Nothobranchius furzeri: one gene and its partners. The main gene of each other region encodes a partner of the protein of the gene in region 3 in a complex. Links are inferred from orthologs where the notes say so. Each region holds a gene or a part of one and is shown on either strand. Other genes may lie near its edges.

Region 1 (4,013 bases), on a different chromosome or scaffold from region 3:
AACACGGTTTTGGTCAAAACTCTAAACAGAGGGCTTGCTGCAGCAGGATTAGTCAAGAAACAGAGGAAGGCAAGCAAAACTCAAAAAAGCACAGTGTCCACTGGACCCCACCGGGACTGTAAGGGGCAAATTTTGGACCAAGACCCTCGAAATGCATACAGGAGGACTCACCACATCAGGTTTAGTTAAGGAACTGGGAACAAGTAATGGTAAAAAAAAAACACCCTGGGGTGCATCTGAACCCATTAACTCATTCACTGCCAGCTGTTCCCTGATCAGAAAAGCCCTTTGCTGCCAGCATTTTTCAGCGTTTTCACAGTTTTTTTTGTAGGAGTCACGGAACGTTGCGCACTATGATGATGTAAATGCCAAAACTGCCAAAACAGAGGAGACTCGCCTTTACATCAGGAAGAATCCGTGCGTTTCGGGCATTCTTCATTCTTTCATAATCAGTTGTCAAATTGTGATCAGCAGAAGCTTTTCCGGTTCGTGCCTCACTTTTTTTACAGCAGCGGCCCAAAACGATCTAACACATGGATTTTCTGCTTCCTGATCACGTGACGTGTGACGTACGCGATGAAGATCAGCTTTAGAGCTGGTGTGTTTGTTCTCACGGTGCGGGGGCTCGTTCCGACACCCACAGCAAAATATGCAAATGACGACTTTAGTCGTCATTGGCAGTGAATGAGTTAAAAACAGAGGAGGGGTTGAGTGTTTTTCTTAGCAACTATTTTATCACCCAGGTCTTACCCGATTCTAATACTATTAGTAATTGTGATTACATGGTGGACAAAGTAAAATGCACCCAAACAACGGAGTCTGGAAGTAAAGACAACACCTGCACCAATTCTCTTTACTAGTGATGGGGCTTTAGGCTCTTTGAAGGGAGCCGTTCGTTCGAGAGCTGTTCAAAAGACTGGCTTTTTTGAACCAAGCGGAGCGATGTCCGTGGGAAAGAAAAAATCAAAAATAAGTAATCTGATAACAGCTAACAGTAACACTTTACAATAAGTCTCTTTATTATCATTACTTAGTGCCATATTAAGCATTAATAAACAAAGGATACCTTTATTAACATTACCCATAATAAATGTCCTCAAGATTAGGACAAAGGGCCGGGGGGGGGGGGGGGGGGGGGAGCAATGCATTACTTAATATTTATATTAATATTAAGCTGTTGTAAATACTTTAATGGTTTATTAATGCTTAATAATCCACTAAGTAACATTAATAAAGGGACCCTTATTGTAAAGTGTTACCCAGCTAACTTGATACAAAGTTACAATAAGGCACATATAAACTAAGTGACCTATAGTTTTAATGAGTTTAATAATAAGCTACTTGACGTTTCCCAACAGCGATCAACAGCAACATTTGCCAACCAAGTTATGTCTTCTTTTTATAATAACAAATAATCTGTTTCTACGGTGTTCAGTTCTGTACTTTCTGAACATTTAGATTAATTGTTTTAAATTAGAATTATATAATTAAAATTTCAATTATGAACAGAACTTCATTACAAGCAACCAAGATCATAATGGACTTTGGAGAATTAGAACCATAATAAGATTTAAAAATAAGGATTTTGAGAAGCTTTCCTTAAGTAGGTTTAGACTATTCACATACCAGGCATATGCATCACAAATGTTTTACATCTTTAGTACGAGCCGTTAAAGATGGTTCACAATGACAGATAAAAAATGAGAAAACTCGAGGTCTTTCAATAGTACTAAAAGACAATCCCCCTTAAAGCCAAACACCAACTCTTTAAATGTATTGGTCCCTAAAAAATTGGGTAATATGTTATGTGATGACATCACCATCTATAAATAATGCAATGAAAGTTTCTTGTTCAGATTTGGGTAACAGCACTGTGAACAAAGTTGCACTGGAAAATGTGTTTATGTATGCCAGTTGTCTTAAACCACTGAAAAGCTAAGTGTTTATGATATGTAGTGCATGTCAGCCTTCCGTAAACCTTTACTAAAGAAAGTTTTATAGCTGTGGGACACAGAAGCTGGTCTGAATAGCTCACCTGGCTCAGAATCAGAGTTCCCAGTCGGAGACTGGCAGAATGTTGAGGGCATGAATACATTGTTCTTGGGAGCTGCAAAAGAGCAGACAGACATTGCACTGAGAATACAAATCCATCTGTACAACACAAGCAAGGACAAGAAAGAAGGTAACTGCTTTGCTTAGTAAGCGTACGCTCTTACCAGAATGTGGAGGTGGGAATGACGATGTCCTTTCCCTTTTTACAGGGGGGCAATAGCTTCCCTCGTCTTTATCCGAGTCTGAAAATTGGAGCAAATTCTTAAACATCTCAAATCAAAAGAAATTTTCAGCTAAGAAACACTTTTCTTACCTTCACCATCTTCTGCGCTTGAGCCCTCAGCAGATCGCTACAAGAGTGCAATAAGACTTTTTACTTATTATACATCCAAAGAGAAGTACCAACCTCATACCAAAAAAGGACAGGATACAAGTTGTTTCCTGCTGAAATACTAAGAAAATCTAATTAAACTAAACTCGCTTTAATCGTGTTTTATGGCTTTTTAAGAGGCTGTGAAAGAATTCAGCTTTAATTTTTATTTTATTAACAAAATTAAAGCATGGGTTGATAATAAATGTTAAATGTCTAAAAAAAAGCACCATGATATAAATAGGCTTTACATTAATGAAGAAAAATGAGAAAACTTACCTTCTGTGCCTTATCTTTTTGGAAAACAAACACAGGAGGTGCAATGGCAGGCTTGTCTGTTAAGAAAATATTTAGGCTAGTCATTCAAACACCAACCTAAAATGTGCTGTGATCTTTTTGCTGCTCACCAAGTTAAAAACTAAAAGCTATGCTAAACATAAGCAATATCTATTGTTTACGACTACAAGATTAACAGAATATACAAAAATAACTATCACATGAGTGAATATGCTAAATCAGTGTGGTCAATTTTGTGTATAAACACGATTACTTCTGTTGATAACATCTAGAGCCATTCTTGCAGTTTCAAGTCCTTCTCTTTAGAATGGGGGACAGCAGTAAGACCGTATCGAAGGAAACACTGCTTTGTTTGTGTGAAAGTATAGCCTGATCAAACATTACTTTAAATAATCTATTATGGCGGAACCCCTCTATCAAGACAATATTATTTTCCCATTTGCTACCTATTATTTTATTGCAGCTAGCAGAAGCAGATCTGATTGGTTACTGAAGAAAGCATTTGGTATTTCTACCTACACCTGCTATAAGCAATGGTGGTTACAATTAAGATTGTCTTATGTTGTTCTAAATTATATGATGTGGTAGGATTTACGCTGTACATGCTTCTTCTAGTTTTGTAAAATGCTCCCAAACTTTTGAGCTATGTTGACAGATCGCCACGTCTTGTTTATTCCGGTGTCGTGACGGCGCACCTGGATGGCCACTACTGCGCACGTGCCTCGAGCAGAAAGACAGAAAGCAGCAGTGTTGCTACAGCAAGCATGATAGAAAAAAAAACAATGCTTCATAGGATGATCAGAGTCAACTATTAAATTTATTGTCAACGTCACAGTGACGAATCGACTAATCGTGGCAGCAGTGAGAAGACAAAATGTCAAGCTATGCAAGTTCTGGATAGATAGCAACACTGTATACTGGGGTTATAATTTAGGGGAGGCCTATTGGTATTAGAAATAATTAGTGCTTAACTAATCAAGATAATCATCTAGAACTTCACAGCAAATATAAGGCCTAAAATAAATACACAAAAAGGTTCAAATAAAAAGCATGTGTGTGTGCAAAATATTTTGCCTAGTTGCTTGAATAAAAAATGTAGTGGCAAACCCCTCTCTTTCGTATGTTTTCAGAAATCCACTCTAATACCTTACAATCCTACAAAACCGTCATGGAGCAAACATCTAGCTACATTATTTAAAATAAAAATATGTCAAAACACTTCTAATTGCATTATATCAATATTGACAATAAACCTTCCAGTAAATCAGCACAAACAATAAACTATGTCTGCAAA
Region 2 (4,272 bases), on a different chromosome or scaffold from region 3:
AGCATTAAAATAAAAAAACTGTTTTATTCACAGCTTTGTTTGTTCTGAGTCTCGCACAAACATCTGAAGGTTGGACTATGAAGCCAGATTTCCTTGCAGACTATGTTGAGATGAAAGTTGAAGTTTTCAGGATGAAGGTGGAGGATTTGTATCACAGAGAGTGTAGAGTGTAACAGAGAGTGAACCCAGTGGTTCCTAACCTGGGGGTCCCGACCCCCACAAGGGGGCGCCAAAGCCTCTCAGTGGGTCACCAGGACCTCTCCACTTTAAGGGGTTAAAACTTAATTTATTACTTGTTTATAGCCTACATTTTGCTCACATTTTTTTCATGAGTGAAAAGTTTACTGATATTAAGACAGGAAATAATTAGTACAGAAAAAGTAACACACTTTTAAGAACATTTTGCTCAGCTCACTGTTTTATTTTCAAGTGTCAAAAGTTCATTAAAGATACGACTGGTTGATTAATCACAGCCTTTACAGTAAATAATCTAGTACAAACAGTAATATACACATTTAAGTACATTTTGCTCAGTGTATTTTTTATGTGTCAAACGTTTATTGAAATGAATGATTGATTTATCAGTGTTTACAAGAAACAATGTGTTCAGAAAAGTAATACAAACTGTCAAGCACATTATGCTCTGTTTGGTTTTGTTAATGACTTTGTTCTGTACTGGAGCCTACTATTACTGTTATCTATTGAATCAAAGCATATTCAAATGTGCTTGAACAATTTGATCATTTCTTAATACTGTTTGTACTGGAAGAGAGAATGGGAGGGGGTCGTCAAAAATTTTACTGGTAAAAAAGGGCTCCCTTGGGAAAAAGGTTGGGAACCACTGCCCTAGATCATCATGGTAATGGAATGAGCTGCAGGTGAGTTTACCTGGTTGGATGGATGAAGGAAGGGGTCGTCTCCTGCCATTGTGTCTGCAAAAGTAAAAAACAATATCAAGTCAACAGTTTTATAATATACATGGACCACAAACCAGCCTTCTTTACTAAAACATAACAAAGATGGCACTTCTGCAAATAGTTCATTAACAACATCTTTTTATAAGTTGTTTTTTTTTTTACTTTAAAAGCCCAACAAAAACCTGAGTTTGCAAATCCATCAACTGTCACATTGCTTTAATGTATTGTCTTTGTTCAAATAAATATAAACTAAAGTGCAGCGCATGTTCAAGTTGAACCATGTAAAAGCTGCCAAACTTCCTGCTACTTCGTTAAACATCACAGCAAGCTAAAGAGCTGCAAAACTCATGTTCATTATTTTATCATTAATGGTGATCAACTATTAGGCAAATGTTATCTAAATGTAATGAACTACTGAGCAAAACCTGGAACAGGAAGCAGAATCAGCTACTATAAATCATTTAAACGCCAACGATCCTAAAGGTCTTTTTTTTCCACCAGTTGCTTAAATGATGAGCAGAAACATTTCATTACTGATTACAGTTACAGGCGAATGCATTTAAAATATGTGTAAAGTCATTTATTTAGAAACTGTGATGTAAAGCATTATTTTATCGCACGATTTATTTTTTTTTTATTTTTTTAATGTCTCAAAGGTAAACTGAAAATTGTTGTCTTAACAATTTCCGATTTGATAAAACGGTGTTTGTAATAGTTCGCACATTGAAAACATATGCGTTAATCTGTGTCTAAAAGAAAACACGTATTTTCCAGCACTGTTTTGGCAGTTTATTCTTTCTTTCTGATGCTCGTTAATGCCGCGCGCGCTCCGCGGCTCTTGTGAACGCGCGTGTCAGTTAGCTTCCTAGCTAACAGCTTATCACCGCCACCGGACTCCTGTTGTTTAAGCTTATAGAGTCCGGTAAAAACCAAGCCGTTACAACCAGCCAGCGGCTCCGCTGCGGTGACAGTAGTGGAGCTCTTGGCTGACAGAGTTGCTGCGTGTCCTTCGGTCCTGTCGGTGCAGCTAAGCTATCAGTCCCCGCTGCCCCACCGGAACGAGCCCTGTAGGTTTGGTTCCTTATGCGGAGAATGTTATGCCAAGGTCCATTTGAAAATCTAACGTGTCAGAAACACTTCAAATTCATGTTAGGAATACATTTTACATTGTTATTTTTATAACCAAACCAATTGGCTAATCATGCCCTAAAAATCGGCAAGTTTAACAATTTCATAATTTCTCATTTTCAACCTCTATTAAGCATTTTGTTGTACGTTACCACAAATAAGAGCGGGCAAAGTTCAGTTCAAAATACAAACAGATTGAAGCAAACATACAATTTGTGCAATGAACAGGCCGAATTTGTCGTGGGGTGACAAAGAATGTGTTCTGAAAAACACTTAATCTATTTTAGGGGATCGTGAGTTATAAAAGTAATCCCTTCACGACACCTCGTCAAAGTTACCTGGCTGATGAGGAAGTAAGTAGCATAACAAAGCAGTCCGTCAGAGCCGTAGAACACCGTAACGGTCTAGGGAGAAGTTCGGACCTCGAGTCCGACTAAACGGGCCAGAGTCCGGGTTTACGCGGTTCGTGTGTCGGTAGCAGGCTTTTACCTGGTTTACTCGATCAGGTGGAAGTCGGTAGCATGAAGTGTGACCATGAGTGTGACTCGTCCCGCTTCACTCCAGTTGACTCGTTATTTGTTCGCCATGCCGAACCCGCGGACCCACTTACAGCCTCGCTTCAGCCAGACAACATTTTAAGGGTCTGGAGCCACGGCCAGTTTTTAATCCACGCAGATTAGGCCCAAATGAAATCCAACAGGTGACAAGTTTGTCAGAATAAAGTGACTTGATTTCCTTCCCTACTGGAAATTCCCTGTGACGTAGAGCTCCAGCAGAGAGGTGAGAAAAGAAGATGGCTCACCCTGACGACAAAAACGGGTCGTCACACAAAGTCCACTTTATGACGTTTTAGCTTCGCTATTTGTGTCACCATTTCATAAAAGCCAAACCAAACATCTAGAAGCAACGAGTAATGTGTCACCCATGGTGCTAAAGTTGTTTTGATCTACTATTTTCTTATATTGATTCATTTTATTGATGTTTGCAGACATTCAGCTCTCTGCCTGTGGTTTTTTTAGTCCGGACTTTAACCGGACCCTGGCTCTTTTCTTTCTGCTTTTATAATAGTATCGCGTGGACATCGGGTCAGTTTCACTGCATTGGCAGTAAAAGGGGGAACGCAGGGTGTGTTCCAACCATGGATGTAGTTTTGACTTTAGAAGTGTGTGTGTGTGTGTGTGTGGGGGGGGGGGGGGGGCGGGGTCAACCAGGTATCCTTACAGTTAAGTATACAAAAATATGTAAAGAACTACAGCCTAGAGGCTCTTTTATGCAATGTCAGAAATGCTGAACTGTTGAGTACACAGGTGGCAGGAACGGCCAATCACATGTTAGCAAGTATCAGCATAGCCAATAGATGAGCGTATGGACATTCTAATGGGAAACAGGCTTCAACACAAGCGGTTGTTTTCCACTTCATGCTAGTGCTCAACCAGAGTCCATTTATAGCGTAATATTGTATTTGGACAGTTAAAAGTGCAGGGGACCATGTCCCCCACCAAAACTACATCCATGGTTCCAACTACAGGGGTATCAGACTTCTGAGCCTCCCTGGTAAGGTCTATTCAGGGGTTCTGGTGAGGAGGATCCATCGTATTGTCAACAGTGTTGGGAACGTTACATTAAAAAAGTAATTAGTTATAGTTACTGATTAGTTTGTCAAAAACGTAACTCAGTTACTAACTGAGTTACAAGATTGTGAAAGTAACTAATTACCAAGAAAAATAACTACTTAGTTACTTTTTTCATTAAAGCATGCAAGAATTACTACACTAGTGAAATATAAATGACTAATGACTGGAACATAATAAAATGTATGTCCAAATGTTTTTTATAAACCTGAATAATTTAAATAAATAAGCACTTAACAGGAGGAAATACTAACAGGAACATTACACTTATCTAGACTATTAAAAGGTCACTGTGTGATATTTAACAAGACCCCAATCAGCTAAAATTTAAAATTGCAAATAGAAACACCTGTAAAGGTTCCTGAGCCTTTAAATGGTTTCTCAGTCTAGTTAAATTACAGAAATGAATGCAATTTTGCACAGCATTTTAATTTTTCCAGCTTCACATCTATTAATGGTTAAATAAATAAATAAAATCCTTTAAAATGACACTAGAACAGGCACAAGCCTGATGGAGGACTTACATTTACTAACTTGGGTCAGACCCAACCACAGAAGAGCTGAAGCTGGGTGGTAAACACACACAGGTAGTTCTA
Region 3 (3,500 bases):
TCAGATAGAAATCAAAACATCTGGGGCCGACGCTCTGGAAAATGTTGGAACTGGATCAGAGTCCAGAGGTCGACTGAAGGTCGTTGACCTCTGGTTGAGACGGCGTGCTGCGGGAGGGGAGGGGTGATTTGAGGCTCTAATCATCAACCAGTCACAAAGAAGGCCTCTTTTTGAACGTGACTGGTCTCAGATGCACTCTTCTATCAGCACAGATACTTCAGCACCCTTGACTCCACCAACCCGTGACATCACACTCACTCACACTCACACTCCGCCCCCCTATCTGTCACCAACCACAAACGTAGACGAGTCTCATGTCTTCTTTTCCTTCCATCTTCTTCCTCTCCGTCGTCGTTGTGAATTCCTCCTACCGTCTATCTGATCCCTGCATCACCGTTCACACAGCATCCACACCGGCACAAAGTCTCAGATTTCATCACTTCCAGACCAACGGTGTCGCTTTTTCAGCTCTTCTGTGTTTGGGGCAGAAAGACGGGAGACTGGTACCTTGTTGATTTTCTCCTTCGGGTGAGTGAGGAGTGCTGGGAAATGGCTGAGGGCGTCACAGTTGAGCACCACCTGCGTCTGTTCATCAGTACCAGTCACGATGTTCCCAACAGCTCTCAGGGCAGCGGTCTGGATGTGGAGCAGACGAGTAAAACAGAAGGTTAGCCGTCGTGCCGGATGAGCCCTGAGGTGGAAGGCATCAGACTTCTCTACAAACCTGAACTTTGACCTCCTGGTGACTGAGCAGAGGGACCAGGTTAGGGACGATGCCGGACTCGATGACCATCTGGATTTGCTCATTTCCGGCGTCTGTTAGGTAGGACAGAGCCCACACGGTGTCCACCAGGATCTGCAGGCAGCAGAGCAGCAAAAAAAACATTTTATTTGGTGTTACAACTGAAACTTGAAAATTTATTAAAAATGGTGCCGTTTTACTAAACGCTGTAATTAGCAAATATAAACAAGTATGGCAGAGGCATACTCACACTGACATCAGTGTGGTGGATCAGCACGCAGAGAGCTGGCAGGATCTGAGAAGACAACATGACAGAAGGCTTCAGAAACAGAAGATGGAAACAAGCTGCAGGTAGGATGACTAACCACCACACCTACAATTAAACACGATCACTAAGGGAGCACCAAACTTTTTAGTTCCTCTCACATTTCAAACATTATTTTCAAGTGATGACGGCCATTAAAAAGCAAGTCACCTCCAAGTTTACTTTTTTTCTGATAAACCACATAAATGCGTGTCTGATCGTGCTGCAGACACATATAGTCTAGTTTTGCACTTCAGTGCATTTTAGTTAAAATTTTAATTTTCTGCCTAAAACTGTCAGTGTTGTGTCGTTGTCAGGTAGAAACTCTGCACTGCATTTCAATTTAAATCTGCCATCGCTATTGGCTAAAGCCTGAGTCATGCTTCTGCGTCAGTGCGGAGACACGCAACGCCATTATCCGTCCTTGCGGGCCCGCTGGAGAGCTCTGCAAGGACGGACGGAGTCGAGCTCTCTTTTCTAAACATCCGTCCGTCGAGATGGAGAACACAAGCTTGTGATTGGTCAGGGCACCGCTGTCGTCTACACCGCCGCCATTACGCTCTCAAAAACATAAAGAGAGCCGAGGATAACTAGCGGCAGACACGGAGCAGCTTGAAGAACACCTCGCGAAAAAACTCTAAAAACATGAACATCTAATTCCCCGTGACTGGAGGAGTGAAAAGATGCGCAGCAAGCGTTTTATTTGTGGACTGAAATGACAGAAAACATGAGTTTAGAGGTGGGGAGCGCATGAAGAGGTGGAGGAGGATGAGAGACAAATTTGTCTGTGTTAAAAAGTCTCTTAAATACAAAAAAAACACAATATAAACACACATCTTGGACCGGTACATGACAGGATACCACAGAACAGCGCTACGCCCTCTGTTGTCCTGGCGGGGAATTGCTTTGCAACACTCCCCAGGAGATGGAGAAGTATGAGGGGAAAATGTCTCCGTCCGTGAGTGCGTGTCTGTCCCTGTTGGAGTTGACGGAGAAGCATGAATCAGGCTTAAGAGTTACCCTAGGACGTTAGCTGGTACCATATGATGTCACAATGTCGCTGTGAGCCTGTGTGTGTGTGTTAGTGGCTTCGCCCTCTCGGTCTGCTAGGCAACAGCATTGGTTGCATTTTTTAAACAGGAAGTGGGAGTTGAGTAATAATCTGGTAGGGGGTGACTTGCTCTTTAAAGCCCAGGTCAAGTATTTATAAAGGTACTCTTGTAGTTTCCAGTACCGTTATTTGTATCTGAATCCAGGAAATAAGAGACCCTAAACGCACCATTACACTAAAAAATAACAAATACAAAACAGGAAAGTGAAAAAGCCACAGAAGGAACCTTACAGCTGACTCTGGTACATTCATGTGATGAATGAATGAATGAATGAACGCGCTACTGAAATCACACATTAATATCATTAATTACCTAATGAAATTAAACCAAAGAGAAAGACTGACTCTTTACTGACATCAACGTGACTAGACTTGATGCAACAGTTTATTTTAGTACTTAAGAATCAGGGAATATTTCACTTCTTACTGGTAAAAATAAATAAATAAATAATTTGGAACGGAGAAGGAATCGCTCAGATCTTCCTCAGATCCCGTAGGAACAATATTACACTTTTAATCTGTGACTCACCTCCTGGATAGTCTCCATTGGCGGTGGGGGGTCCTTGTGACGGCACAGGTTGACCATGACCCAGGTGACGTTGCGGAGGAAGGTGATGGGGATGGAGGGACTGATGAACGACAGCAGGGGCTTCACCACTCCCAAGCTGATCACGTAGTCTCTGCACTGTGGACCATCACCTGTACAAATTCAAGAGTTTGAAGTTTTTGTCGTCTCACCCAGAAGATGTGCTTTTTGGGAGACACACAAGCACACACACAGCCTCGGGCAAAAACATTATCGTCTGCCCTTCAGCCAACAGTGTCAGTCAGTGAAGGTGTACGCACGATCGTGCTGGCGGCTGCTTACCGATGATGTTGCCCAGAGCCCAGACGGCCTGTTCACACACGTTCTGGTGAGGAGAGTGAAGCAGCCTCAAGAACAGCGGCACGGCATCTACGACAGAATGGGATTTCATTTAGACGTCACATGAATCCAGAAAACCTGGAGCAAACGGAAGTATTTTAATCCCCATCTGGAGTATGAGTGGAATTTATACAACCATTCAAATCTAAACAAACCATTATTGAACTACATGATACAGAATAGTACAGCTTTTCCTGCCTCTTCTCTCCTGCACTAAAGAGCCACAGCTGCAGCAGGTGTGAGGCTACACGGACGCACACATCCACCCAGAATCTCTTCATTAAAACACTCTGAGCCAACGAGCAGCTTCCACCGATGCTGAACTTTAAACACTTTGATAAAACAAGAGAAAGAGTTGATGTGTTTGCTGCAGCACACATTTGCACACGTCTGAGAAGTTTTCATCGGTTTGATTTCA

Evidence for each region.
Region 1: the proteins of kpna4 (region 3) and ranbp3b are in contact, whole or in part, in a crystal structure (PDB 5XZX), measured with the Homo sapiens proteins. The link is inferred for Nothobranchius furzeri from reciprocal best matches to the Homo sapiens genes KPNA4 and RANBP3. Residues at the interface, in NP_002259.1 of Homo sapiens: Arg96, Leu99, Ser100, Asp102, Arg103, Pro105, Phe133, Trp137, Thr140, Asn141, Ala143, Ser144, Gly145, Thr146, Ser147, Thr150, Glu175, Gln176, Trp179, Gly182, Asn183, Gly186, Asp187, Asn219, Trp222, Val225, Asn226, Arg229, Asp261, Trp264; in NP_015561.1 of Homo sapiens: Asn114, Tyr115, Cys116, Pro117, Pro118, Val119, Lys120, Arg121, Glu122, Arg123, Thr124, Ser125, Leu127.
Region 2: the proteins of kpna4 (region 3) and nfkb1 are in contact, whole or in part, in a crystal structure (PDB 7LFC), measured with the Homo sapiens proteins. The link is inferred for Nothobranchius furzeri from reciprocal best matches to the Homo sapiens genes KPNA4 and NFKB1. Residues at the interface, in NP_002259.1 of Homo sapiens: Arg96, Lys97, Leu99, Ser100, Ser101, Asp102, Arg103, Pro105, Phe133, Trp137, Thr140, Asn141, Ala143, Ser144, Gly145, Thr146, Ser147, Thr150, Gln176, Trp179, Gly182, Asn183, Gly186, Asp187, Asn219, Trp222, Val225, Asn226, Arg229, His230; in NP_001158884.1 of Homo sapiens: Glu357, Glu358, Val359, Gln360, Arg361, Lys362, Arg363, Gln364, Lys365, Leu366, Met367.

What each region holds. Positions count from the first base shown.
Region 1 is NC_091751.1:45,078,052-45,082,064, forward strand, and holds the start of ranbp3b (ran-binding protein 3b), read right to left. Parts: upstream 2,801-4,013; 5' UTR 2,786-2,800; coding exon 2,702-2,785; intron 2,403-2,701; coding exon 2,366-2,402; intron 2,295-2,365; coding exon 2,217-2,294; intron 2,108-2,216; coding exon 2,036-2,107; intron 1-2,035. UniProt on the Homo sapiens protein: Acts as a cofactor for XPO1/CRM1-mediated nuclear export, perhaps as export complex scaffolding protein. Bound to XPO1/CRM1, stabilizes the XPO1/CRM1-cargo interaction. In the absence of Ran-bound GTP prevents binding of XPO1/CRM1 to the nuclear pore complex.
Region 2 is NC_091741.1:65,343,663-65,347,934, forward strand, and holds the start of nfkb1 (nuclear factor NF-kappa-B p105 subunit), read right to left. Parts: upstream 2,801-4,272; 5' UTR 2,535-2,800; intron 2,527-2,534; exon of another isoform or gene 2,384-2,526; intron 933-2,383; 5' UTR 928-932; coding exon 889-927; intron 1-888.
Region 3 is NC_091753.1:52,632,043-52,635,542, forward strand, and holds part of kpna4 (importin subunit alpha-3), read right to left. Parts: intron 3,113-3,500; coding exon 3,026-3,112; intron 2,857-3,025; coding exon 2,687-2,856; intron 1,038-2,686; coding exon 993-1,037; intron 857-992; coding exon 725-856; intron 637-724; coding exon 508-636; intron 1-507. UniProt on the Homo sapiens protein: Functions in nuclear protein import as an adapter protein for nuclear receptor KPNB1. Binds specifically and directly to substrates containing either a simple or bipartite NLS motif.